Linked DNA regions of Drosophila melanogaster. Changing the gene in region 2 together with the main gene of any one other region gives a genetic interaction. Each region holds a gene or a part of one and is shown on either strand. Other genes may lie near its edges.

What was found.
Region 1: of dx (region 2) and Su(dx), changing one suppresses a phenotype caused by changing the other (phenotypic suppression), as found in Drosophila melanogaster (3 studies listed by BioGRID).
Region 3: of dx (region 2) and Hs3st-B, changing one enhances a phenotype caused by changing the other (phenotypic enhancement), as found in Drosophila melanogaster (one study listed by BioGRID).
Region 4: of dx (region 2) and Pten, changing one suppresses a phenotype caused by changing the other (phenotypic suppression), as found in Drosophila melanogaster (one study listed by BioGRID).

Annotation. Positions count from the first base shown.
Region 1 is NT_033779.5:2,036,013-2,043,735, forward strand, and holds the start of Su(dx) (suppressor of deltex), read left to right. Parts: upstream 1-1,701; 5' UTR 1,702-2,212; intron 2,213-2,515; exon of another isoform or gene 2,516-2,629; intron 2,630-3,720; exon of another isoform or gene 3,721-3,792; intron 3,793-3,917; 5' UTR 3,918-3,979; coding exon 3,980-4,142; intron 4,143-4,204; coding exon 4,205-4,347; intron 4,348-4,409; coding exon 4,410-5,561; intron 5,562-5,634; coding exon 5,635-6,557; intron 6,558-6,640; coding exon 6,641-6,839; intron 6,840-6,901; coding exon 6,902-7,171; 3' UTR 7,172-7,723. Other genes in the region: lectin-22C, read right to left, coding at 444-1,235.
Region 2 is NC_004354.4:6,532,051-6,539,084, reverse strand, and holds dx (deltex), read right to left. Parts: upstream 5,087-7,034; 5' UTR 4,673-5,086; coding exon 4,184-4,672; intron 3,565-4,183; coding exon 2,281-3,564; intron 2,219-2,280; coding exon 2,076-2,218; intron 2,008-2,075; coding exon 1,707-2,007; 3' UTR 510-1,706; downstream 1-509. Other genes in the region: RpL7A (ribosomal protein L7A), read left to right, coding at 6,581-6,595, 6,664-6,787, 6,880-7,034.
Region 3 is NC_004354.4:19,246,987-19,252,571, reverse strand, and holds Hs3st-B (heparan sulfate 3-O sulfotransferase-B), read right to left. Parts: upstream 3,934-5,585; 5' UTR 3,432-3,933; coding exon 3,249-3,431; intron 2,834-3,248; coding exon 2,370-2,833; intron 1,819-2,369; coding exon 1,311-1,818; 3' UTR 1,298-1,310; exon of another isoform or gene 1,122-1,297; 3' UTR 527-1,121; downstream 1-526. Other genes in the region: CG7992 (uncharacterized protein), read left to right, coding at 5,458-5,518, 5,578-5,585.
Region 4 is NT_033779.5:10,255,800-10,263,000, reverse strand, and holds Pten (phosphatase and tensin homolog), read left to right. Parts: upstream 1-1,951; 5' UTR 1,952-2,147; exon of another isoform or gene 2,148-2,416; 5' UTR 2,417-2,747; intron 2,748-3,013; exon of another isoform or gene 3,014-3,310; 5' UTR 3,311-3,425; coding exon 3,426-3,525; intron 3,526-3,587; coding exon 3,588-3,760; intron 3,761-3,827; coding exon 3,828-3,972; intron 3,973-4,085; coding exon 4,086-4,273; intron 4,274-4,344; coding exon 4,345-4,452; intron 4,453-4,603; coding exon 4,604-4,766; intron 4,767-4,827; coding exon 4,828-4,937; intron 4,938-5,007; coding exon 5,008-5,223; intron 5,224-5,284; coding exon 5,285-5,606; intron 5,607-5,878; coding exon of another isoform or gene 5,879-5,883; exon of another isoform or gene 5,884-6,091; intron 6,092-6,494; coding exon 6,495-6,514; coding exon of another isoform or gene 6,515-6,548; 3' UTR 6,549-6,682; downstream 6,683-7,201. Other genes in the region: Rsf1 (repressor splicing factor 1), read left to right, coding at 1-185; CG5676 (uncharacterized protein), read left to right, coding at 7,186-7,201.

The DNA.
Region 1 (7,723 bases), on a different chromosome or scaffold from region 2:
TCTGCTCCGTTCGAAGCCCGCGATACGAATGACTGCGGATGCGGAGCGGTCGGCACATTAAATTTTGATAATTTTCACTTTGAGCCGCGTTCTCTGAAACTCTTGACAATGTGTGAAAAAGTCCGAAAGCGAACAAACAACATGGTATACGACGAATTTTCTTGGACTCTCCGCTCTCAGTGCTCGTATTTAAAACGAGTGCTAATAATTGTTTAAACAAATAGTTTTTGTGCTACTGGAAAGATCGGAGAATCAAGGAAATTTCACTTTTTGTGCGCAGTTTGTTTGTCTAAAAGTGCAATATAACGTGAAACTGGTAAATTTAGTAACCATAAAGTGAGTAATAGAGATAAGCTAATGAAGGCTTGAGGGATTGAATAAAAAATCACAGGTGTTACGGCATCAGCAAAGGTTTTATTATTCTCATGTGGTTTCTATTTAAATCATACATTTAAATCTTCCTCCTCGGTCTGGCAAATGAACCGGAAAGTATAGTGGCATGGGTAATCGTACATTTCCCCGTTGTATAGGAACACGCAGTTGAGGGTGTCCAACTGAGAGGGTCTCCCCGAGGCCCATTTCAAAAAGGTAGTCTGCTTGCCCGTGGGCATGGACAAGAATTTTCCCTCGTGGTCCAAGTCATTGATTCCCAGCCAGTAATGCGTGTCCTCCTTGAGATTCGCCTTGATGGCGGCTAGATCTGCCTCGTCCTTAATGTCGGCCAGGTGCCCTCCCATATTGCGACAAGTTTTTGAAGCAGTGGACCAGTTCTTCTCGGATACTTTCTCTATGTAATAGTACTTTGAGCCGATTTGCTCGAATCCGAGGTATTTTATTTTGGTTTTTACTTCAAGGACTGTTTTCTCCAGGGCCGACAGTATGCCTTCCATGCAATTCAGTCGTTCAGTAAAGTTCTGTTCGTTAACATTCAGTTTTCTGCCTTGGGCATCCAGTGCGACTTCAATGCTTAGTTGCTTATTCTGCAGAGCAGTCAGTTGGCCTTCCATCGTGTACTGTCTCACCAGGACCTCGTTAGCCTTGCTTGAATTATTGGAATTCGCCAGATTTTGGGAAATGGTCAGGTGATTTAACACGGGCGTAAGTACACCCAGACAGAATCCTCCACATTGACTAGGAGGGTCCTTTAAAGGACAAATCACATCGGATTCTGCCCAAGCTCCATACAAATTTAAAGCAAGAAGACCACATAGCAAAGCACTTGCGGATTTTAGCATTGTAAGCACTTTTTACTGCCAAACACTATGTTATTCGATGAACTGAATCCGCGCTTTTATATTTATTCAATAGCACCACAAAATTAAATAACATTTAAAGAAATTCAATGAGCAACGCAACTGAGTAATGAATATTCAGGGGGCTTCTAATTTATATGGAGTAATAAGCTTAGATTCCAATAAAATCAGAGGGGCCAGAAGTACTAGCTGGTGCATAACTTTTTGGCTAATTATTTACCTTTGTTTTGTTGTGACTACGGGCAATACGTTCTTATTTTTATTCCTAATTCCTATTCGCGGTCATTTTCAAATCTGGTTGGCTACTCCATTTTGAGCTTGTACGGCAACTCTGGTTGAACATGTAAGTTGGCAATATAGCGAGTACGCCAACCCAGTCTAGCGTGCATAACAAGCCTCGCCAATTGAATTCAACCTATCGATTCGCGCACTGAGTGGCCACATCAGTTGTATCGAAAAACATCGTCCAAAGTTGCAGCTCTAGAAATTGCTGCTTGCAAGCGAAGCAAAATAACAAATAAACAATTAGTGCAGCGATATCAACTGCTCGCGATTACGTGGACCAAAGCGAGGGCGGCAGCGCCAACTAGTGCAATAATCCAGCCATCAATTTTGGGGCCCGGGAAACCCAGTTAAGAATCCCGCACACACACTCGCACATGCAGCCGCACACAGGAGACAACAACCACACACACAGGCGCAAGTTGTAGGAGCACCAGAGGCAGAAGAAGAAGCAGCAGAAGGTAAGACACAGGTAGAAAGGAAAGGAAAACGGAGGAGGAGAAACCCCCAGAAATTGCTAAAAACAAAAAGGAACGCCTCTTGCATTGGAATTCGCCAGCGGTAGAGCGGCGGCAGCGAGTGCGAGCGGGACGGAAGTCGCGACCTTTGCCTCAATTACAAGCGCACACACACAAACACACACACGCCCACCCACAGAAGGAGTGGGAGTGGGAGAGGTAGTTACCTTCTTTCTGGCGTGCGTTACATGACCACGAATAAATATATATCTACACATATATATGTGTGTACTGTAGCATAGTGGCGCTGTGTGGGTGACTAAGCCCTGCGGTCGATAATTCAAGGAAGTTCAAGTTCCCCTCCCTCCACCACCCCTCCCCATCCATCGAGCGAGAAGTGCATTCTAGGCTTATTGACAGCTGTTGCTGATTACTTCGCTTGGCTCGCGCTCCGGCTGCCCCACCAGATAGCTTCCCTTTGTTCATCGGCCCACTGATAAGCGCTCGAATGATAGGCGAAATGAGCCGGAAAGTGCGTGCTAATTGATCGGAGAACTGTGTCCCATTCAGATCCATGCAAAGCCCTTCCAAATCGATTTCAATCCGGTCACAGAATCTGATGAGTAGACACTAATGGTAAACAACAAGCTGCACTTGCTCACGTGTTCTCGGTTAATTAATGTAGTGAAAACGCTAGCAAAAGAGAAATCGCGAACGGTACACAGCGAGAAAATCATGGTAGTTATCAGCATGCCGATAAGCAAAGCGAAGAAGTCATTAAAGCATTGAGATTTCAGTTCTGACGATATATAACAAAATAACTTATTTGTGGGCTTGTGTATCGCCATATCGGCCATGTTGCTTCCTGCACACAATCAATATGCAATAGCCATTCAACAATTGAAACCGAATTCACTTGCCGTTTTCTTTTTCGCGTTGAGCCGATGACTCACATGGCAACATTATTATACAATCTATTGTGTAGCGGGGTGTTTGCTATCAAAGTTATGGATGACCAGCAATCGGTGCTGAGTGTGTACGAAAAAGTACAGGGAAACACACACGCACACAGCCGTGGCAGTCGCAAATTATGGAGAAAATTAATAGGCGATAATACGGTGCTTCCCAGTAGTTTAAAGTCCACGAAATCAAGTGCACTTATCAGTGCATTTATATATTTATTTGGGGGAATTTCTATAGTAATACAAGTTTCTTTCAATAATTTAGAACTCTAGCCTCACTTAGTCAAAGAATATATTTTGGGATCAGAAACATTACTCAGTTTTTTAATAAACTGTTTACCCAGTTTGGTCATGATTAATTTCGCTTGAAATAGCATAATTTTTATCTTTCATATATGACCGAGTTGCACTGTACATACATTAGCGCCGATTTTACAGCTCACAATTTGTTCGAGCAGTTTATTTCACCAAAAAAGTGAAGGCCTATTCGCAAACAGTTTTGTTGCCATACTGTCGTTTACACACTATATAATACACAAAGCTATACAGGCCATATCTTATCTGCGGATAGTCGCTTTCATAATGATATAGAGCTGGCATTATCTGCCTTCTAAGATCAGGTGTATAAGTAGTCGAGAGCTTAAAGCGACTAAGGAAAACTGCATAACACCTAAAAAGTGCTTAGTAAATCACTCAGGGTTCCCATAAAGGCCTGTTGGTAATCTGTAAACCTAGCAAAAGTGTGTACAACACTTTTATTCGGATAGTTATTTCCACTCTATAAAAGCTTCCTGTTCAACAGCATTGTACATTTTTGGGTATTGATAAACCATTTACGTATGTAGACCGTGTTCCGGACTTATCTTATCAGTCCAGAACACGCAATTTCCCCCCATTCGATACTTTCCACCACCAATATTCAATAGCAGCGTGCTCAATACTGGCTTTCTCTTCACTCAAAGGGAGGAATATAAGGCGGAGGAGGAGGCGGAGCACCAGGAGCACTCACACACTCAGCCACTAAATGGCCGATGGAAATGGGCTGCCAGCGGGTGCAGCTTCCGGCGGCATGGAAGCCGGGCAGACAGTGAATGGAGCGGGATCCGCCAGCCCCACGCCCACCTCCAGCTCGGGGGCGGGGGCCAGTGGGAGTGCCAATCAAGGATATCATCAATTAAGCGTGACAAGTGAGCAAACAAAAGAAAGTGAAACATTCTGTTCAATCAATAATGGCCCCAAATCCTTTCAGTCGAGGAGGCTTCGCTGCGCAACAATGGCTTCCTCAAGCCAAATCCCTACGTGGAGCTCTTGATTGACAGCAAAAGCAAGCGGAAAACGGACCTGGTGAAGAACAGCTATTTGCCCAAGTGGAACGAGGAGTTCACAGTGCTGGTGAGTAGAAACAGTAATAAAAGTCAATTATTTGTAATATCCACGGGATCTATCGTCTCTAGATTACACCCAATTCAACGCTGCACTTCAAAGTGCTGGATCACTCCAGTTTCCGTAAAGATGCCATGCTTGGAGAGCGGATCATCAACCTGGCGCACATTCTGCAGCACTACAATGGGCGGTGCGAGTTCCTTGAGCTGACCATCGACCTGTTCGTCACCAGCAAGTCGGACAATCGCCAGACGAAGAGCGGCGAACTAGTGGCCATCCTCAATGGCCTCAAACTCGATATGAGCAAGCTGCAGATTCAGCCAGTGGCTGGCCAACAGAATGGCAATCCACCCGTCCAGGCGGTCAATCCGTCGGTGGTCAGTGATGCGGCCGCCGGACGAAGTTGCATGATTTACGGTGGAGTACGGGCACGGATGCGACTACGCTCGAGCAGTGGAAATAGCAACGGCGGAGAGACCCGCTCTCCTCTGCCGAATGGAGGTGGAGATCACAGGAGATCTACGCAGGCGCCCCCGGTGTGGGAACAGCAACAGCAGCAATCCCAGAATCAACAGCAGCCCCTGAGAATGGTCAATGGCAGTGGGGCGGCCGTGCCGCAGACAGCTCCGTATCCTCAGCAGCCACCAGCTCCCGCACTAGCTCGTCCTCTAACCCAAGTGTACGGAGCGCTGCCAGAGAATACACAACCAGCTGCTGTTTATTTGCCAGCTGGAGGAGGAGCAGCAGTAGGACCACCTGGAGTAGCAGGCCCACCAATTGAACAGCCAGGAGTTGGACTGCCCGTGAGCCAAAGCACAGATCCGCAACTGCAGACACAACCAGCGGATGATGAGCCGCTGCCTGCAGGGTGGGAAATCCGTCTGGACCAGTACGGTCGCAGATACTACGTAGATCACAATACACGATCCACATACTGGGAGAAACCGACACCGCTGCCCCCGGGCTGGGAGATCAGGAAGGATGGGCGCGGTCGAGTTTACTACGTAGACCACAACACAAGAAAAACTACCTGGCAGCGGCCGAACAGTGAGCGTCTGATGCACTTCCAGCACTGGCAGGGTCAGCGGGCCCACGTCGTGTCTCAAGGCAACCAGCGATACCTGTACTCCCAGCAGCAGCAGCAACCAACGGCGGTGACAGCCCAGGTGACGCAGGACGACGAGGATGCACTGGGTCCACTACCAGATGGCTGGGAGAAGAAGGTAAAGCCGTTTGTCTAGATTAGAAAAAGTATTTATTTTAACTCGTTCCTTTATTTACTTAATCCTTACGCAGATCCAATCGGACAACAGAGTGTACTTTGTTAACCACAAGAACCGAACCACCCAGTGGGAGGATCCACGCACGCAGGGCCAGGAGGTGAGCTTGATCAACGAGGGCCCGCTTCCACCCGGCTGGGAAATCCGCTATACAGCCGCCGGTGAGCGCTTCTTCGTAGATCACAACACGAGACGAACCACCTTCGAAGATCCTCGACCCGGTGCTCCGAAGGGCGCCAAGGGAGTGTACGGAGTGCCACGCGCCTACGAACGCAGCTTCCGCTGGAAGCTGTCGCAGTTCCGGTACTTGTGCCAGAGCAACGCTTTGCCATCGCACATCAAGATCACGGTGACGCGACAAACCCTGTTCGAGGATTCATACCACCAGATCATGCGTCTGCCAGCCTACGAACTGCGAAGGCGGCTCTATATCATATTCCGCGGCGAGGAGGGACTGGATTATGGTGGTGTATCTCGCGAGTGGTTCTTCTTGCTCTCCCACGAGGTTCTGAATCCCATGTACTGCTTGTTTGAGTACGCGAACAAGAACAACTACAGCCTGCAGATAAATCCCGCCTCGTACGTGAACCCCGATCACCTGCAGTACTTCAAGTTCATCGGTCGCTTTATTGCGATGGCCCTGTATCATGGAAGGTTTATCTACAGTGGATTCACAATGCCATTTTACAAGCGCATGCTGAACAAGAAGTTGACCATCAAGGACATCGAAACGATCGATCCGGAGTTCTACAACTCACTTATCTGGGTAAAAGATAACAACATCGATGAGTGTGGATTGGAGCTCTGGTTTAGCGTGGACTTCGAAGTGCTCGGTCAGATAATCCATCATGAGTTGAAGGAGAACGGGGAAAAGGAGCGCGTCACGGAGGAGAACAAGGAGGAGTACATCACCCTCATGACGGAGTGGCGGATGACACGGTATGCATTTTACTTGATAAACGACAATATGTTGTCAATATGGGTGTCATTTTTGACTCGGTATTAACTGATTCCTATTGCAGTGGCATTGAGCAGCAGACAAAGACGTTCCTGGAAGGCTTCAATGAGGTGGTGCCCCTGGAATGGCTCAAGTACTTTGACGAGCGCGAGCTGGAGCTTATTCTGTGCGGCATGCAGGACGTGGACGTGGAGGACTGGCAGCGCAACACCATCTACAGGCACTACAACCGCAACTCCAAGCAAGTTGTCTGGTTCTGGCAGGTGGGTTCCTTTGTGTTCTTTGTGCCCTTTCCATTCGCTAATCCGGATAATTGGCTCCACAGTTTGTTCGCGAGACGGATAACGAGAAGCGAGCTCGCCTGCTGCAGTTTGTGACGGGCACGTGTCGCGTGCCGGTCGGAGGATTCGCCGAGCTGATGGGCTCCAACGGGCCGCAGCGCTTCTGCATCGAGAAGGTGGGCAAGGAGACGTGGCTGCCGCGCTCGCACACCTGCTTCAATCGATTGGACCTGCCGCCGTACAAGAGCTACGATCAGCTGGTGGAGAAGCTGACCTTTGCCATCGAGGAGACTGAGGGCTTCTGCCAGGAATGAGTGGCAGTCGATTTGTGGTCGGTTTGTTGATTAATGTTTAATTCCAGTTAAGCGCCTGCTTTACCGTCCCCTCCCCCTTTCCATTTGACGACCACGTTGCGTTAAATAGTTACTGTTATTATTATTATTACATACGTATGTATTACTACTGTATACTGTAAACACGAAACACACACTTCTGTCTGTCTATTCCTATGTTCGCAACCGATATCACACGAGATATTTGTTAAAAGTGCACGAAACTTGAGAACAATCTATGTATGAATGTATTGAGAGCCTATTTTAGAGATATTTATAATTTGTTAGGCATAATTTATCCACTGCATAACTCTCCTGTGTAAATTTAAGACAAAGTTTGATTGATTCGCTTCTGTTGATATTTCTTACGACCATCTATCTTCAAATGTAATTGTCATACATTTCTTTGGATCCTTGTTTTACGCCGATAAATAAAACCACCTACCGTTTAGCTTCAGCTAAGCCTTTAAGAACTTAAGCACCGCCATTCCCAGAATATATTCAAATTTGAACTTGGGCTTGCTTAGGGCATCC
Region 2 (7,034 bases):
GCCGCTGCGCCTTAAATGGCCCGGAGCAACTTCACCAGAGCATCGCCAACATCACCAGCATATCCAACATCACCAACACATCACGCACTCGCTGCACTGCACAATGACAAAAAAAAAAAAATGCATCGGATTTTTTGTCTTTTATTAATTTATTTTAAGTGATTCACGGCGGCGTAGACTGAAAACGAAAACCGAAAACTGAAAACAGCTAAACCTTGGAAGTTCCAAAAATGTCAACTGATTGATTTGAATTGCACCGCATTGGTAAGAAACTGGCAACAATGCAACAATGCCATAGAGCCACCTAATTGGAATTTAAGCTTGTGCTGGTAATTAGTTTACAAGCAGCATGGCACAATTGAGTGAATAATATAACATAAGAGGCATAAAGAAAAAAGTCCCAAAAGAAAGAACTCATTCGAACATACATACATAAGTGAAAAAGTCCAAAAAGAAAGATTTCCTTTTAGACATGAGTGAATAAATATCCCAAAAGAAAGACTTAATTTGAACATGAATGAAAGTTACTTTATTTGAACTATATATAAATGTACTGTATTATATATGCGTAATATGCATACATAAATGGTGTGGAATTTGTTGTGGAATATTCGCAATGAACTTTAATAACTAATCAGTGCTAAATACAACTTAGTAAAATCATATCATATCATATATCAAATATGGTGGCGCGGTCAGTAGCCGCTAGCTGTCCGTACGATCTCTACATACTATATGCTATATATGCTATATATTGGCGATGTATACGATAGTTCGTTCGATGCTCGATGATATCAATATGAAAGCAACAATTCATCAAATGTATGCAAGGGATTCGATAAAAAAAATTATTGTTATGTCGTATGGCTATGGGGCTATGTTAAAATATGTTTATGTATGTATGTATATGTATATGTATATGTATATGCGTAATGGAATATCTGGCTGCGTTACAACTATGCTTCCTAAATGCTCCGTTTAATAATGAATAATTCAAATTAAAATCACATCAAATTCGCTGAATGAAAGAGATTAAATGGCCAAGACAAGTGAGACAAGTCTATCGAATTTACCCATCTCCATTTCCTCTCTCAAAATACTATTTTAATCCTATATAAATCCGATATAAAGAAAATTCACATGGATCTGATGAAAGAGACAAATTCGAAACCGAGAGAGATGGAGAGATGGGCAATGGTTATAGCTAGCTATATCAACAATATACATATCCTATAAACGGGAGCGCTACGATTTTGGCACAGCTTGCACTCGAATGGCGTGGCTTGGCTTGGCTTGAATCGAATCAGGAATCAAGAATCAGGATAATGCCTAATACTAGTAGGTGTCTTGGGTCAAGATTCTCTTGGGAACTACAGCTACAACTAACTAACTAACTAACTAGCTAATACATATGATGTACGCCAACTTATTGCGTATGTGCGTACAAATACGAATTGGAAGAGCGGAAAGGAAGCTACAATTGCAATTGTGGTTTGCTGTTGTTTTAGGGTTCGAGCAGCTCGAACGCTATTACAATATATCTATAAAAAAAATATATCATAGTAAACGAGGATTGCACACACACTGAGATTATGTAGAAAGTAACTTAACGACGAATGGAAGAGAATGATCGAGGGGACTTCGGTGGGTGGGTGGTTGGTTGATTGGTTGGTTGGTAGTTCTACTCGGGGACAGGGAACTAATCCTTAATCCGTCACGCCCAGGTGCACCAGCTGTTGCATGGTTCGTTGCAAATAGGTGGGATCCGGAAACATATTGAACTGCGTCTTGTGATCCACACTGTTCCAGATCACCACATCCTCGCGTCCGGTGGTCACCGATCGTCCGATCGAGAAAAGCAGCCGACGATCGAATGCAATCTTGAGGAAGCGCAGCACTTTTCGCCCCAGCGGGCAGTCCGGCAAGTAGCAGATCCGCGGAAATCCCACGGCGAAGAAGGCACGACCCGGATGCGGATGCTCCTCCGTCTGCAGTCCCGATGCAATGCTGCCATGCAAATGAAAAAGAGTGATTATAGTTGATTGCTCAGTGGCCACAGGCACATTCACACTTACTCGTAAACAATCTGTATGGTGTTCTGACCCTCGTGTCCTGGCAGATTCTTGCTGATTATGCTCCACGACATGCTGCCAATGGGCTGATTGCCAACCTTCTCGCCGTAAACGATGCCGCATACAGGGCACTCGATGAAAAGGTTCTAGGGGAATGAAATTTAAATAAACTTTCTCTTTCTAATTGGCATCGCTTTCGCGTGCTCACCTTGTTCATTTCGTTTTGCTGGGCAATTATCATCCCATTGAGGCACTGCAAATGCATGAGATGCTGGCAGCGACTCAGCGAAATGGCCGGATTCTGGGCGGAGTGCACCAGCTCCTCCATGCACATGGGACAGGGCTGGGCATTGGGCCACAGCGGTGGCTCCACCACCTTGACAAAACGCGATATCATATCGCTGGCCGGGTCCACGCCCACAATCGAACCGGCGATTGATTGCTGCTGCTGCTGCTGCGCCTGTTGCTGCTGTTGCATCTGCAGCTGCTGTTGCTGTTGTTGCTGCTGCTGTTGCTGTCGCGGATGCAGTGGTAATGGCGGCGGCACCGGCGCCCTTTCGCCCAGCGACGATGGCGGCAGCGAGGGCACAAAAACTTCATCGCTGCCAAGCGAGCAGTCCAGCAGATCATTGACCGAAATGGCAAAGTTCCTGCTGCGCAGGCTCTCCTTGCTCTCGTGGCTGAGGTAAGTGGACACAGTGTCCACACTGGGTCTCCGCCGATGCGATTTCACACTGTTCGTGTCCGTGTCCGAGGTCCGCGTACGCGATCTCGAGCGATGCGAGCCCATCCGGCTGCTCCTTTGCGACTGCAGCGATCCCTCCGAGCAGCGACTATGATGACTGTTCATCGAGGCAGTCAGCATGTTCTTGGCGTGCGAAAAGTGCGCATGCGACAGATGGTTGGCATGGTGCAGCGAGGCCGATGAGGAGGATGAACTGGCACTGGCCGCCGTCGACATGTTCGATTGGTGCTTAGTGCTGCTGCTGAAGATGTTTAGGTTGTTGAGTATCTGGCGTAGATTGGTGGTGGAGATCTCGCTGTGCTTCTTGGGCGGCTTCCTGGGCGCCGTCTGATGATGGATTTGATGGTGCTGCATCTGATGTTGCTGCTGTTGCTGATGCTGTTGTTGCTGATGCTGGTGATGATGTTGCTGCTGCTGCTGCTGTTGATGCTGGTGCTGATGCTGCTGCTGCTGCACTTGATGGCTGGTGGGCAATGGGTGCTGTTGCCTGGTCATGGGCACTCTGTGCAGGCTCTTGGTGTCTCCCAGTTTGGGTAGAGTGTTGTACTGGCTGCTCACGCTGGCGGAATTCGACTTGAGTTGGTTGGCCTGTTGTGGCGTTAGTTTCACCAAGGGATACGGCGCCTGTTGGGTACGCCGAATGCTGCGCATGGGTCCGCTGGGTTGGCGCAGCTGGGTGAGATTGCAAAAGTTAATGGTGTACGGCAGGCCGATGTGGGTGTTGCACAGGTCCAAGGTTTGTTCGCCCTGCAAGGGAGTAGGAATAAGTTATGTTACAATCTATAATTGATGATATTGATTGATTGATATGCGGTTGCAGTTGGACTTTGTGCAAGAAGAAGAATAAATTTATATAGCCCCTAAAATTTGATCATAATACCATAACTCAGCCAAAACTCCAGCGATTTAAGTGCGAATGATTTTAATAGTCATTATTTTTAAAGCAGAAAGTTTCTGTATTCAAACTTTTACAAAAGTGAAAATTAAATTTTTTTTCAATTTTTTTGTCCCATTTTGAGGTTGCAAAAATGGAAATTTTTGAAAAAAAAATTAATTTGATTTTAGCTAAAAAATTTAAATGCAGATTTATTTGTCTAAGCATCAGAAATTCAAAAAGGTACACTTCTTCGATCTACTACGTTTTTTGGCTGAGATGTGAACTGTGGAATTTGGCTTATATGTACTATTTAAACACCTATGGACACATCACAGACTGGTGCATCCTTAGCCAATTCTTCAGGATCAGTGGTAAACCCACACTCTTTTAAGATTCCCCATATATTCTCCCGATAAAAAAATTCCTGAGCAACTCAAAATTCCAACTAGACTGCCAATGGGAAAACATTCGATTCTGCACGGCACTCACCCTCGCCCAGGCGTCCTCGATGATGCACTGGACGTGCATGTTGTAGGGCCGCCAGTCGTTGTTGCTATCGGCACTGCCGCCCGACCACTCCCACTTGGTGCCCTTGCCCGCCGGCGAGCTGGGTGCGTAGAACATGCGCCGAACACCGATGGTCAGCAGGCCGGAGCCGGCCGTTTCCGCCTCCGATTCCTGGGTCATTGTGCGCACGTTGACGTAGTACTGCTCCAGGCTGGGATCCGCATCGCTCAGCATGACGCGCGTCAGTTTCTTGGCGTGGGCGCGTTCCAAGTGCTGCGACACCGCCGGCGAATAGGGCAGCCACTTGCCGCGCGACTCGAACTCCCACACGCAGACGGCGTGGGCGTGGTTCACGGGCGGCCCACCGGATCCGGCGGTGGACAGGGCCATGGTGGCACAACTGGAGGCGGCGCTACCTCCGCCACCGGGAACAACGGATCCGGATGCCGCACTTCCGGCGCTGCTGGCCATTGCTTGCAGTTGATCCGTTATCCGTGGAGTGAGCCCATTGCCATATCCATGCCCATTTCCATATCCAACTCCTCCTGCGCTCTCTTCACTAGCTCTCACTCACTCACTCTCTCTCTCTCGCTCTCTCTTGCTGTTGCTGTCGCGCTATCTCGCTCGCTCGCGAAGATGGGCACAAAATAAACAAAGAAATTAAAAATGGTGGACCCGCTGCCAGCGTTAGTTATCCCTGATTTTCCCTGGCTTCCATTTTCCCGAAGTTTTCGTTCTGGTTCTTTAGTCACTCGGTTTCGTTTAGGCGCAGCTTAAGAATTCACGTTTGATGGTAAAAACAGTTTTTCTAGCATTTAGCGCAAGCGCAGGCGAGAAATTTTTATTGTTGGACAGCGATTTAATGAGAGACAACAGCGGAAAATGGCTAAATAAGGCCGGATGAAAATACCGCACTGCATCTGCAGCCACCAGTTGGATTCGGTAGTTTCAGGGTTGGCATAACTGGTTGCTAGCTAGATCTAGCTAAATGTTTAATATTTTTTATTTTCTTTTCTTGCACTTGAATATAAACAGATACTATTTTTAGCTTGTTAATTAATCAATTAATATATGTGTAATTGAATTCTATATTGAAATGAAAAAAATAAGAACTTGCAATGATTTTACTTGATATTAATTTCAATATTTTTTATTTACTTTGGCAAGTTTAAGCTACTTTTCTTAAGCAACGCGACCTCCAACACTGGCTGCTTCCAAAGTTTCTTTCTATTTAGTATTTCTTTTCAAGATTTTCGGTAATACAAATCGGTCACTTTTAAGAAATTCATAATTTGAGCATGTCTTTGCTGTAACGATCACATTTGTGGTGTATGTCCTAGATAGGATGGAATGTTAGATATATTATTTTTATTTAAACGAAAGGTATTCTGACCACGATTTGATTCGTTTTCAAGCGCTGGCCTATTAAAAAAGAAGTTACGCTTAAATAACATTGTTTTTTAACTTATCTGATGTACCTTAAAATTTTTAAAACATAAATGGAGCGAGTCTCTGCTAAGAATAAGCATAGCCTCTCACCTCGGTATATCGCTTCTTTTGGCGTTTCGGTGCAAATGTGGCACGGTCAGATCGAATCTACTCGATTTCCAACATTGGAACTGCCACTTCCTTTCTTTTTCGTTCCACGTTTCCGGTGAGTGCATGTGCCTAGCGAGCAGTCCTGAATTTTGTGCTAAAAACCAATATTTTATTTACTTTCAGCGAGTATTTCGATACGTTCGTGGTCGTGCTTATCACAGGTAAAGCTCACAATTCCAGAAATTCACCCAAAAACTACGCGGCCGGCGAAAATGTGTGCAAAACCAAATTTTTTGTATAATTTTTTTTCTGTGGGCTTCCAAAGCCGGATTTAAATGTGCCACTTAAAAGAACAAAGTGTAAACAACACGTGAAGTACGCAGTATACTCCGAAAACCTTTTTTTTTTTTGTAGTGAAATTGCCAAATTCCAACCCATTTGAACAAAAATGTGCGTTGCGGCATGTTTTTGTGCATGTGTTGGTGCAGGTGTATGGAGTGTGTGTGTAGAAGTGTTGTTAAAGAAACCTTAAAACTTCAAAGTTATCAAAATGAAAGTAATATTTCTTCAATTTAATGAAAACGGAGTAGATTTCTTCGGAAAATCTGCGAAAAAACGTGTGTTGTTTATACCCAATTATCACACACACACACACACACACACGCAAGCAACATGGTTTTTTTTTTCTTTCCGTACTTACATTTTTCATGCACGTGTTTTGCTGGTCGCCGAAGTTTTGCGTGTTTTCCCATTAACTTTACCAAGTTTAAAACGTATTAATGTGCTAATTCTTTTTTAGCAACTGCTTATTTCGGTAGCAAACTTTAAAACCGCTTGAAAATGGTTGTCAAGAAGGTGAGTTATCGGCGTAAATTTGCTGTTAACTCGAATTAACCTAATGCGTGTTTTCATTGCGTTTACAGCCCAGGCCAAAGAAGAAGCCAGTGACCAAGAAGGTGGCTCCCGCTCCTCTGGCTGTCAAGAAGCCCGTGGTCAAGAAGGTTGTTAACCAGCTGTTCGAGAAGCGTCCCAAGAACTTCGGAATCGGTAAGTGCACAAAACATATTCTATATATATGAATATTGCAGCGGAATTTCTTACATATTAGCTAAATGTATACATATTCTCTCACTTTGCAGGCCAGAATGTGCAGCCCAAGCGCGATCTGTCCCGTTTCGTTCGCTGGCCCAAATACATCCGGGTGCAGCGTCAAAAGGCTGTGCTCCAGAAGCGCCTGAAGGTCCCACCACCAATCCACCAGTTCAGCCAGACTCTGGACAAGACCACCGCCGTG
Region 3 (5,585 bases), about 13 Mb from region 2:
GGCAATCCGTACTATAGGATTTAAGTTATTTTCGACTAGTTTGTTAAAATTAAAGTTATTACCATAGTTACTTTTACGATCACCACTTATGCATAGTTATTTTTAAAGAAATTCATAACCGTAAGCAGGAAACCAACAAACGACAAAAATCCCAAAAAATAATATATAATTTTCTTATGTAGCGTGTACCAACATATTTTATAGAAGCAGATCGAAAGCAAATTGGATAATTGCCTTGAAGCAACAAGAAACAACCACAAACCACCGCAATTTATTTAATTAATGTACTTAAAACTAAAAGAGACCCAGTGGCAGGCGAAAGCAAAAAGACCACACAAACCTTAAACCAAGAAATTATCATTATTGTTGAAAACAAAGCAAGAAGCATACCGTGAATCGTTCACAATCACTTTAAAACCAAAATGAAATGAAATCAATAAACTATAAAAATTGAAAAAGTTAAACCCAGCAAGTGCTATTTACTTAAAATCGTATGGAAAGATAACAATCTTCTTAGGGGCTGACTAGATTTAAGGTCGATTTATTTAGTTTGTTTTTTAATTGAAATTGGCTAAGCAATCGTATTGGTTGAGTCATGCAATTGAAATTGTTGGAACTATGCATACAATATTTTGTATATGTTTAGTTTAGGAGACTGTAGGAATTTCGTAGTAAGCTCTATTTTTTCACTATTCTTGTATATAAATGCACATAATGATCTTAGGTATAATGATCTTAGGTAGTGGTAGTACATAGCAATGTGTGTGCCCAGCGGACGGGGGAACCATGTCCATCTCGGATCGAACGTGGCTCCTCCACGTCCAACTGCCTGACATTCGAGTATAGTGGGAAAAGTGAGTTTCATTTCATTTCATTTCATTTGAATTGAATTGGAGTGAGGAACCGTATTGTTTGAGTGCGGACTTTTCAGGTTGCGCACTTCGTTGAATTTGTCTCCTGATAAAGCTACAATTAATTGAGCACTAACTTTATGTGTGTGTGTATATACTATATATAAGTACAATTATATGTATCAAAAATGCAATCAACAATATCAGTCCGTTGCCGTGGCCAGCAACAACAATATCTCCTATTCTCAAACTCCATTCATTTCACGCCCGCTGAAACGGAAATTGATACCAGATATTAGGGATTAGGGCTTAGGGATAGTCAAGCATACTCCAATGGGGATGGATGTGATATGTAAATTGAGCAGATCAGTGAAGGTGCCTAGCCTCTGGCCAATCCAATCCATTTCGGTACTAGCCTTGCACGTATCCCAGTTCCGTCTACTCACCCAGCCGTGGATCCTATGGCCAGGCGAAGTTGATGCCCGTCAGCTGGTAGAACTTGTTGTTGAAGGGCCGGTAGAACTCCCGGAGGCGCTCGATGGCCCCGGGATCTATGTGCGGATGGTTGCGCCCCTTGGTCTTACCCAGACAGTGGGGCGTGGAGCGTGCCTCCGACTTGAAGAGGCAGGGGAAGCCCTTGGTGGCATTGAAGTAGAAGTGCTTCTCGGTGACCACGCGCTTCAGACCGAGGAAGTCCTGTACGCGTCCAATCTCGTAGGCGGGATCCATGATCAGCCGCTCGCCGCTGATGAAGAGCAGCTGCGAGAGCGGAAAGTAGAGCAGCCAGCGCTCCAGATAGCGTGCATAGACGCCGATCTTCACCGGGCCCCAGTTGGTGTCCACCACCGAGTAGCTACCGTTGACGAAGGCCAGCTGCTCGAAGAGCTTCATGTCCGCCTTCTTGCTCGCCGCCTGTGTGTAGTCGGAGATGGCCCGCGTCACCGGATCCCGCACCACAATCAGTAATCTACGGGCGTATAAAATTGAGGTTAAGTGAAGATATGCTAGTGATTGATGGTCCAGATACGTAGGGTTAATGTAAAACGCATAATGCATTTAGAATATAATGTTAATCCCTTCTATGTTGATCAAATCGAATGTTGTATTCCGAAAACCATTTCACTTAAGGTGCTTAAAAGTATGATAAAACCTAAAACAAGTTCTAAAGTCTTGTGTATAAAGCACATATTTAAAAGGACTCAATATTTAAGGGATATCCGCCTTAAAAATCTCAGCTAAGCGTTTGAAACACTTTTATTATATAGTATGCTACGATTTACGTACGGTTTCAATATTTAAGGGATATCAAATCGGCCTTAAAAAGTATCTCTCTTCAATTTTCAACACTTCTATTATAGGTGCTAAAAAGTATGCTATGACTAAATACAGTCTTGTGGATAAAGTGCAGTATTCTAAAAATATCATTTTTAAGAATTGACCGTTTTTAAGTTCTATCAAATCTGATGGAGTAACAATTTACGATTATGATCACAATAGGTTTGATGTAGAAAAGCTCACTTTGTTGCCGGATTCATGTGGTAGACGCGCTGCGGCACCTCCTTGGTGACGAAGTAGCTGGGCGTCTTCTCCATGGTGATCTGGCCCTCGATAGTGTACGGCATGTGGTGGCGGTACCAGCGTAGTCCCCGCTGGTAGTGCCTGTCGAAGAAGTGCACCTCCGAACCGGCGGCCCGCACGTCCGGATGCAGGCGGATGAACTCGAGCAGCGCCCGCGTCCCGCTCTTCTTCACGCCAATGATGAGCGTGTCGGGCAGGTGGCGCGATGGTCGGAGCCCCTGCTGACGGAGCAGCTGATACTTGGGCGCCCCATCCAGGCTGCTAGTAACCGTCTGTGCCGGCGGAGCACCGGTGGTGGATGAGCTGTTCCTGCTGCTGCTGCTGTTGCTGCTGCTGCTGTTGGCGGCGTTATTGGTCTCGTTGCGGGGCGAGGAGGTCAGCGCCAGTAGATTGCGTAAGTTGCTCTGCGCGGGAGAGGTCAGAGGTCAATGCCACACATCGTGCGAAACATATCAACATATTGGCTTATGAAAATGCCCAACTTGTAAGTATGCCGAAAAGTATGCAACTATAAATGTACATATATATAATCGTATATATGTATGTAGATAGCATCGCAAAGTTCAGCGAAAGACAAAACTTAAACTTTTCACAGCACACTTTTGGACAGCTTGTTAAATGTTTTGAAACCGCTGGGGATTATTACAACCCCCCCCCCCCCCCTAATTTTGAGTTGGCTCCACTTTACACATGTGTGTAGCGAAACTTTATATTCGATTTTCCAATTATCAGTTTGTTTTCATGAATAAATGCATTGGATATTGGATACATTTAGCCCCTACACTTAGACATTGTCCAGTGATTCGTGGACATATTCACCTGCTGCAGACTGCGACTGATGCTGGCCAGGAGGCAGGCATTGAAGCTGTAGGAGAAGTAGACCAGAGTCACGCAGATCACCAGGGCGATGGCCAGGCTGCGGCTGCTCAGGCTGAGGCTGCTGCACCAGATGCTCATCACAATCATGGCTGGCTGGGCGCTAGTGGCTGCCGTGTCTCGCATCTGGCGGTATAATCGGTTCCGAGCGCTCCGTCAAATTCCATTGCCACTCAGTCGCCCCGGAGCACTGCCTGCAGCATCCGGATTCCGATTGTGATTTGCAATCGCAGCAGCGGCTGGCGGCTACCGCCAACGCGAAGTCAACTGAAGGAATGGGGCTGTTCGCAACGCTGGAGCTGCTGGTAGTTGCTGGTGGTTGCTGCTGCTGTTAGGTGGCTGGTGGGTGGTTGGTGTGGTTGGGGTGGTGCTGGCGCTACGAGTTCGGCCTGCAAGTGCCGGAGCTGTCGTCGCAGCCGAGTTGCGGAAGTGAAAGCCAGGGATAAGGCAGGGCCAAGACATTGGGGTGCCCTGCCAGCGGATAAGCGCTGCCTGGGCCGCCGGTTCGGCTCCGTTTGTGCAGGATGACAGGATGGGTGGGGGAAGCGGCCGTGTCATGGTTGCGCCTGGGAAGCGCACAGGCGCATTGGACACATCCTCTCTCGTCTCGGGACGCTTATGCAACTGAGCGTTTTGCTTGCTCTCTCGCCAGCTCGTCGAATCGCCGTTGGTGTGACGTCGCAAATGTACACTGCCCGAAAGAAGTGCCAAGTCTTGAATGTAGCAGATAATTAATGTAGTGACAGCTTGCTATCACATCATGTCTTTAAGAAAGAAAGCAGACATATATAGTTAAATCAAAAGATACTAAAATCTGAAGAATTTCCGCTTTGTGAGGGTTTGACGAAATCTTTGCTTTCTACACAAATCAAATCTTAATAAATAAGTATTTCACTTAAGTTAGTAATTAATTTCCAAGTCTGATAAAGTTATATTTATATTAAGCAATAATAATAGACATTATTGATTTGTTAATTTCTAACTTCACAACGAATACATGATAAAATGTACTCCAAAAACGCAATCGTTAAGTAGTATTTCTAATATTTTTTATTATTTCTAAAAATGTATATATGTATATAGTTTGTTATGTAGGCTGGGAATGCCATCTTAATATTTATTCGACCATAATCTTTTCGTATACGGCCTTTTATTTTCTTACTTCCTGTCGCAACTCTCTCTCTCTCTCTTTTTTGCTCTCGGCTTCAATCAATTTTCCGCTCAAAGGTAAACAAACTAACCAAGAACTTACCCCCACCCACTTTGGCAACCAACCACCCACCCACAACCCAACCACCCCATTTGCGTCTGATAAAGTACTTGCTGGCATTTAATATTGGATTGAAATCAATTTACCAAGCATTATCGCCGGACGTTCTATTGCCCGTACTCCTATCACCATTAGCCATTTGAGATTAGTTTTAAGCCCTATCGTTGGAATGGCCCAATGGCCTTTGCCACATTGTTTTCTTATGCATATGAAAGGCCAAAAAATTGTACGTTTCCGTGGCAGCGTGGTAAATAGTAGGGGCCCTCAGTTGGGCCAACTGCCAAGGAGCTTATCAACCGGCGGACATCTGTTTATCTGTCCAAGTGGCTTATTCCACTGCGGCATTAGTCACTCACTTTGGGATACACTGGCGAAAAAAGCGCCAGGAAATTCGATCATATAAATTGGGGTAAAAATATTTACATAAAATGGGAAATATAGTACTTCGAGTAATGCCATAGATAGATACTTGCTCAAAAAAAGATACATTCAGGTACAAAAAAAAACATTGATCTATAACCAACGAATTTCTCCACAAGATGCGCAACATAATCGGATTTCCTTTTGACTATCATAATTCATGAACCCGAGCGGAGAAATGGCTAGATAATCCCAAACCCTCAACTTTTCCGCCCGTGTATCCATGGCCACCACACACATGCACCTGGTCGGGTCGGGTTGGCTTATCTTATCGCCTTATCTGCGCCGCCTTCGTCGCAGTCGAATTCTCCGCCGGACTTCCACCGGCCCATTTGCCATTTGTCCGGCGTCGCATCGTAGGCATCTCCATTCCAGCTGCTCGCTAAAATGCTCTAAGCTCCTTCGATAGACGAACCTTCCTCTCCCTGCTGCTGGACTAACTAACGCAAATCTATCGCAAAAATGTCGAATGTGTGGGGCAAACTGGTGCTGAAGTTCTTTAAATATGCGCCCAGCTATGTGGGTGAGTTAGCCACGCCAATGGAGATCCTTGTCCAGAGATTACGTCTCATTCACTTCCAGTCTGCCTG
Region 4 (7,201 bases), on a different chromosome or scaffold from region 2:
CAGGTGCAAGCAGCTATAATGGCAGAGAGGGCGGCGGCAGCGGCTTCAATCGCCGCGAGGTTTACGGCGGTGGACGCGACAGCAGCCGCTACAGCAGCGGAAGTAGCGCCAGCTACGGACGCACTGGTGGTCAGTCGGCCGGACGCTTCAGGTCCCGCTCGCCGGTGGGAAACCATCGATTCTAATGACAACACCACTCATAGTTGCTTAAGGATTGCCTATGAGTAAAGATTAATAAATAATAACTTAAGCGCGACCGTAAAACGCAGACTCAAACATTTAAAATCGTAGCATTCGATCGTTTTCGATCGTCCAACAGATTCCCTCATTCCCCCACATCAACAACAACAACAGAATGATAAAAAAAAAAGAAAAAACAAAAAACTGATAGTCGTCGTCTCTTCATTATTTATTTAACGAATACCCATTAACATGACAATTGCAAGCACGTAAAATTTAAGTTATAACGTAGAAAACTAGTAAGAAAAATACGCTAAGACTCGAACAACGTCAAACCAAAATCTAGAAGTACGCAATTTTAATAAAGGAAATGCGGAACAGTTTCTCGTATACATAAAAGCTTTCGCAAAATAATTGGTCTAAAACATTAAAGAATTTTGAGAACTCGGAATTGTGTAGGTGTTCATTTTTACAGAACCTCTTATAACCATCGTAATAAACCCTACGAAATGAAGCAGTCAGCAGTCCGAAACTGGTAAGAAAGCGTTTTCGAAAATCTGCTTTGTTTTCTGAATCTCGAAAACCTAAAAAGCAATAACCGCCAAGTGTTTACAAACAAATCATTGACTTTACGTTTTGGTAAGAAATATTGCATGTGTACTATCCATCGATCTAACTTTTTACCTATTAAGACAAATACTATACAAATCTATAACTTATTGTAGTTGGGTCGAAACGGCAAAAATCTAGCCAATGCTGCAAGCAACTATATTAAGCGCATCGGTTTTAATGTTTATGTTTTATTTCATTTAACTAAATTAACAGGTCATTTGTTGGAGTATCTCTTAACGTCACTTTCAGATTTATTAGATTGCTTAAAGTTCAAAACATAGCTAAGCAATACTTATGATAACGACGATTAGTTAGTTAGCCCAAGGGGCTATTAAATATTTAAACGATGGACTGCAGAAACTTTTTAAACAAATAAAAAGCGAGACAAATAAATGAGAAATTGGTTAACACGGCAAAACACTTGTTTTTATTTCTTCGTCTTCGAGTCCTTTTTGCTTCAATAACATTTACTGATGATTGGCCTATTTTGATTTATTCAAGTTACGAATTAAAGTCAACAGTTGAGAATTAAGTGGTACCAAGAATTCATTTTGCGGAAACCAACTAGCCTTAAGATACGAGTGTAATTTTTAAAGTTTTGAAAATTTTTTAAAATTTTAAATTATTCAGATAGCAGGTTTTGCTTTTGAATAAAGGAACTTTAAATTCCAATCATATTTATGTCAAAATAATCGAATACCCATAAAAAACCTGTTGCACTTTTATCGATTGTAAATAAAAAAAGAGAGGATTACATTAATGGTATTACCCAAACTGATAGTTTTCAATAGCATTTCAATGGCTGGAAAAAAAAATAAATAAAAGGTATTCGTAAATCTTAAAAATGTTTGCGTTTTAAAAAATTGCATACCAAAAATAATATTGGTTTTGCAAGAAATGGAATTTTTAATAGCTGTAGCAATATTAGTTTCGTGGGTAGAACTCGAGTAAAAGATGTGTTGGTAGTCATGTTTTTGGTAGCATGAAGTTATATGTGTGTTGTTTAATAAGATTAAAATAAATGCATAGATAATTACATATTGTTTAAAACCGCAGTGCTAAAAAATAAATGGTTGTATCGATGACCCATCGATAGTTTTTGCATACACAATTTAATCGAGAGGGCACCACGCACGTCGATAGCACTGGATGTACATTTTCTCAAATCTTGTGGTGGTATCGCTCGCCGTAAACACCCTGTGGATCTCACGCTTGATAAATTAATAATACATTTAATAGAGCATGAGCGCTACTGTTTAACTTTTACACATAATTGAAAAGTTTTATTTGAAATTTCGTGGCTTAGAGCAAAACATGTGATAGCTTTTTGAAATGCAGTAGCCAGAACCTGCTCGGTTGGAACATTTAGCTTATTGACTTAAACATACCCATATGCACATACATACATATGTATTAAACAGTGGGCACATATATTCGTGTGGTGCTGATAGTGTAAATGTGTAAAATGTCTGTGGAATTGTAAATATGTTTTTGTTTAAACAAATATGTACATAAATGCACAAAAATCGGTGCATATATGTGCACATGCCCATCATCCATATCTGCATATTTCTGTACATGCATATGTGCTCTAACTACAATACATACCACCATTCGCAAACAGTTTGTCAAAAAAGTGTGTCTACTCGGCGAGATAAAACAAAAAACAGTTGCCAAATCAGTCGCTATGTTAAGTAATTCGAAATTACTGCTCGGTGTTTCTAAAACGGATTTTGATTTTGATTTTCACCCCTCGAAAATCGCCCCCTCAGCCAACGAACCCATTTAATTGCTCGAATTCGTATCGAAATCGCCGTGCGTTGGGCTTCAATAAAAGAACTCTGTTCTGTTAGCCAGTTACAATTAAAACCAGGACCATTTGACAACCAATCTGAATGTATTATGCCAAGCGGAAGATTGTTATATTGTTTATCTTTGATAATATGCCGATACATGTAAGTATGTTTCACGTGTGTGCCGCAAATGCCTGCCTGTGTGTGTGTGTGTGTGTATGTACATATGTGCGTGTGCATGTGCGAGTGTGTGTGAGTGTGTGCATGTTTGTGCTAAGGATATTTGTGGATATATAAACCGAACTGAAGTTAACTCTTTACCTGTTCCTGGGAAAACAAGTAGGGAACTATTCCTATAGAGAGTGCACCTCTGTCTGTATGTGTATGTACGTGCTTAAATATGTATCCAAGCAAGAACTGCAAACAGGAATATATCTTAGCCGAGTAAGAAGTATTAGTTTATATAGAACAACCTAAGTGGATCGGGAGAAAACAAGCCCATTATATTAGTTCCATATATCCCTTTAGAATGCCTTGGCACAGTATAATTAAGCAGTTTCTATTGACCATATTAGAAACTTGTCTGCTGTTAAAGGATTTAGGTTTGAATTCGCAGTAGAAAACTAAGCTGAATTGAGTCAATACTTTTCTAACTTGCTGTGGAAAATAAACAGATTAGTTAGAATCATATGCATATTAATTAATATGCTTTACATTCCTTTCAGAACGTACACTTTGCAATGGAGTAAATAGAAGACAAGCACTGGTTCCCAAATACATTTGAATGGATGCAGCTAATCTAATTTAAATAAAAAAGACAAGTCTTTAAACCTTAAAAATATGGCCAACACTATTTCGTTAATGTCCAACGTGATACGCAATGTAGTGAGTAAAAAACGTATACGATACAAAGAAAAAGGATACGATTTGGATTTAACATGTAAGTTATTGAATCAACCGCAATCATTGGAATATTAAATTAAATTATCTATTTACCCACAGACATTAATGATAACATAATTGCCATGGGCTATCCAGCACCGGATAAACTAGAGGGCCTATTCAGAAACCGTCTGGAAGATGTCTTTAAGCTATTGGAAGAGAATCATGCCCAGCATTACAAAATCTATAACCTATGCTCGGAGCGTAGTTACGACGTTGCTAAATTTCGCGGGGTAATTTTGTTGAACTTTTTCTATTTGTCGGCGTAAAATATGTAAAATATACTATTTCGCATTACAGAGAGTAGCTGTTTATCCGTTCGATGATCATAACCCTCCAACGATTGAGTTAATACAACGATTTTGCAGTGATGTTGATATGTGGCTCAAGGAAGATTCGTCCAATGTTGTAGCCGTGCACTGTAAAGCTGGAAAGGGCAGAACCGGTAGGAAATGTGTTCAACATTTTGTGCGAAAGTTCATAAATATCATGGCACACTATGATCTTGTTTCGATATTTGTAGGGCTAAAAAACTAACCCAGTTTTTTTTCATTTCAGGTACCATGATCTGCGCATATTTAGTGTTCAGTGGAATTAAAAAATCCGCCGACGAGGCATTAGCGTGGTATGATGAGAAGCGTACAAAGGACCGAAAAGGTGTGACAATCCCATCTCAGCGTCGATATGTTCAGTATTTTTCCAAACTAGTTTGTTCAAGTGTTCCATATTCGAAAGTAAGCCTTAACGTGAGTATTTCCAGCAGCAGCGCCACATTCAGCGCCGTACAAAATCTAAATATGCATTTTTTGTATCTCAGGTATGTGAAATACGCTTCTCGGAGTCCAGTTGTGTGCAAAACTTAGGCATGGTAGAATGTTCAATATCTGTATTACACGACTCAGCCACAGAAAATGCAAAGCCAGATGTAAGTATATAAAGTATATAGATACATCATTGATAGACTATAGACAGCATTTTAAAAATGTATATTTCACACGATTTCAGTGCAGTAAAGTGTTCCTTTTCGAATACCTTTCTAACCAGCAGTAACATTCTTCTTTTTTTTATAATTGCAGAGACTGAAAACCTTGCCGATTGATTTTCAAAAATCATTTGTTTTGACCATTAAACCATCAATACCAGTTTCCGGCGATGTAAAATTTGAACTCACAAAAAAATCCCCAGATAAAATCATTTGTCACTTTTGGCTAAATACGTTTTTTGTACGAAACTATTCACGTAAGTATACTTAATATCGCACATGCATTAAATAAACGATTTAATTAAACATTCTCTTTAGCTTGCGAGTCCGATGGAACAGTTAACAAATATATACACACTTTAAGCAAATCAGAAATCGATGATGTACATAAAGACAGTGAACATAAAAGATTTTCAGAAGAATTCAAGGTAGGATATTTCGAAGCATTTTAATAGATGCTGCGAAATTACCAAATAAATGTGCTTGCTCTCTTTTCAGATTTCAATCGTTTTTGAGGCAGAGAATTTTAGCAATGATGTTCAAGCTGAAGCGTCCGAAAAAGAGAGAAACGAAAATGTTTTAAATTTCGAAAGATCAGACTATGACAGTTTGTCTCCAAACTGCTATGCCGAAAAAAAAGTCTTAACTGCGATCGTCAATGATAATACAACGAAAAGTCAAACAATAGAAACGTTGGATCATAAGGATATAGTTGTAAGTGAAAACACGTTTTGCGCCGATCAATATGCTTAATCTATAAATCTAATATTCGTAGACTAAAATTCAATACGACACATCAACCAATTCAAAAAATACTTCGACTGCGTGCAAACGCAAACAGCCTAATAGCAAAACTCTTTTACCAAGCTTGAATGATTCCACAAAAGAGGAAATAAAACGAAATCATATATTTAATCAACCGTCCATTAAGAAAACTGATTTAATCAAATGGCAGAATAGTGAAGTTCATATCACCTCTGACACTCGAAGTATAAACGAAAATAAGAACATCAATTACAATTCATACATCACATGTAAACAATCCTCTCCAAAATTCAACTGTGGTACCGAAGATGGCGAGGAAGATTGGGAATCCGGTGAGTTTGCTGCACACTATACTCTCAATGACCAGATCTCACTAAAAATCTATCCGTTTTAATCGAGTAATACCGAACAATTGTTCTAATTTCACATTTATTTAATACTAAGAGTTTCGATTCAATTGATTTCTGGACCATTATCGGTTTGATTTTGTAATTAATTGTATTGTATGAGTATTCAAATTAAGATTTGTTAAAAGAGATAGCCTTTATCGACATATGCTATCGTCCACACATTTATATTCTTATTGACTTATTGAATTCGCCAGAATAATCACCCGAGACGATTTAAAAGACTTCTGGCTGAACGATCTCTTAATTTTGATGTATAAAACGAAGCCACCAGAACTGGATTTATATGTCCCCAAGACTTTTACGAGTATACTAGCAGAGACAGGCTTACACAGATCCACTTCCTTTCACGGGGAAACGATCGATTACAGCTGCGCTCTGCACATCTGTTTAGAATTTAATGTACATAGGTGAGTGAGTGGGAGCCCATGCCTGCGGCTCGAATGGTCAACTAACCGGCAATCCTTAATCAGTATCCGCATCGATTTTCATCACACATCCCTCACCGCTTCATAAGTATGTGACTCTGGGCACTGCCATTGTCCTTCTACTCAATTCATTTAACAAAACTAGCACCGAACTGTCGAACTTCGACTAATTCGACTATTTCACTGTTGCTGTTGAAAACTAAATATCCTGAAGCAGAATGTGTCTTTTGTGTGTTTCATCATCATCAAAAGTCTTCTGCTTTTAATTCATTCATGCTATTTTGATTTTTATCGTATTCTCGTTGAGTTTTAGTTAATAAATTCATTAAGCTTGTTTGAGCAAAAAAATCTAAACTAATAAATGAATATTTTTCTTTATTTCCAGGTGAATCAACATACCTGTAATCAATGCTTATTACGGACTTATAATTCTTGGTGATTTAGCAAAGTAATTAAAATTGCTAAGTAATTGGCTAATCTATTCGAATTTGTAAATATACTGTATGATATTTATTTAAGTAGTTTTAACAATTATTTTAAATAAACTCATGTACATTTTGTATTGTAGATTTCATTCGAACTTTGGGTTTTTGTCTAAAGTAAGGGGGGAGAAATAATTGACGTTTAGAAAAAAATACTTAAATTTATAGTTTTGATCTCGAAACTAGTTTTCGACACGAAAAGTGCAGCGATTAAATGGATATCTCATATTTTATTGGAATTTAACTAATAGTTTCAAATGAGGCAATAGCTAAGATAAATAAATAATAAGAGGTTCTTGAAATTTGCCAATTGTTGTGCAAAGCATACAGGATTCACAAAGGTAATTATCAGATTAATAATAAATATTCAAAGTATGATTATTCCAGTTTCTACGTTAAGTGCTACCAGTTATTTTTCTTACTCTTTTTCCCATAATTCCCCTAACATATGTTCCACTTCCGAGTTCCAATAAACCCAACACAAAAATGTTGTCCAAATTGACGCTATCTTGACGGGCATATATTATTGTGTTAAATTGACGTAAACTGGGCGGTCAGAATTTCGCATCTTAACGTCGACATCTAATTTTAAAAATGACTAATTATTCGG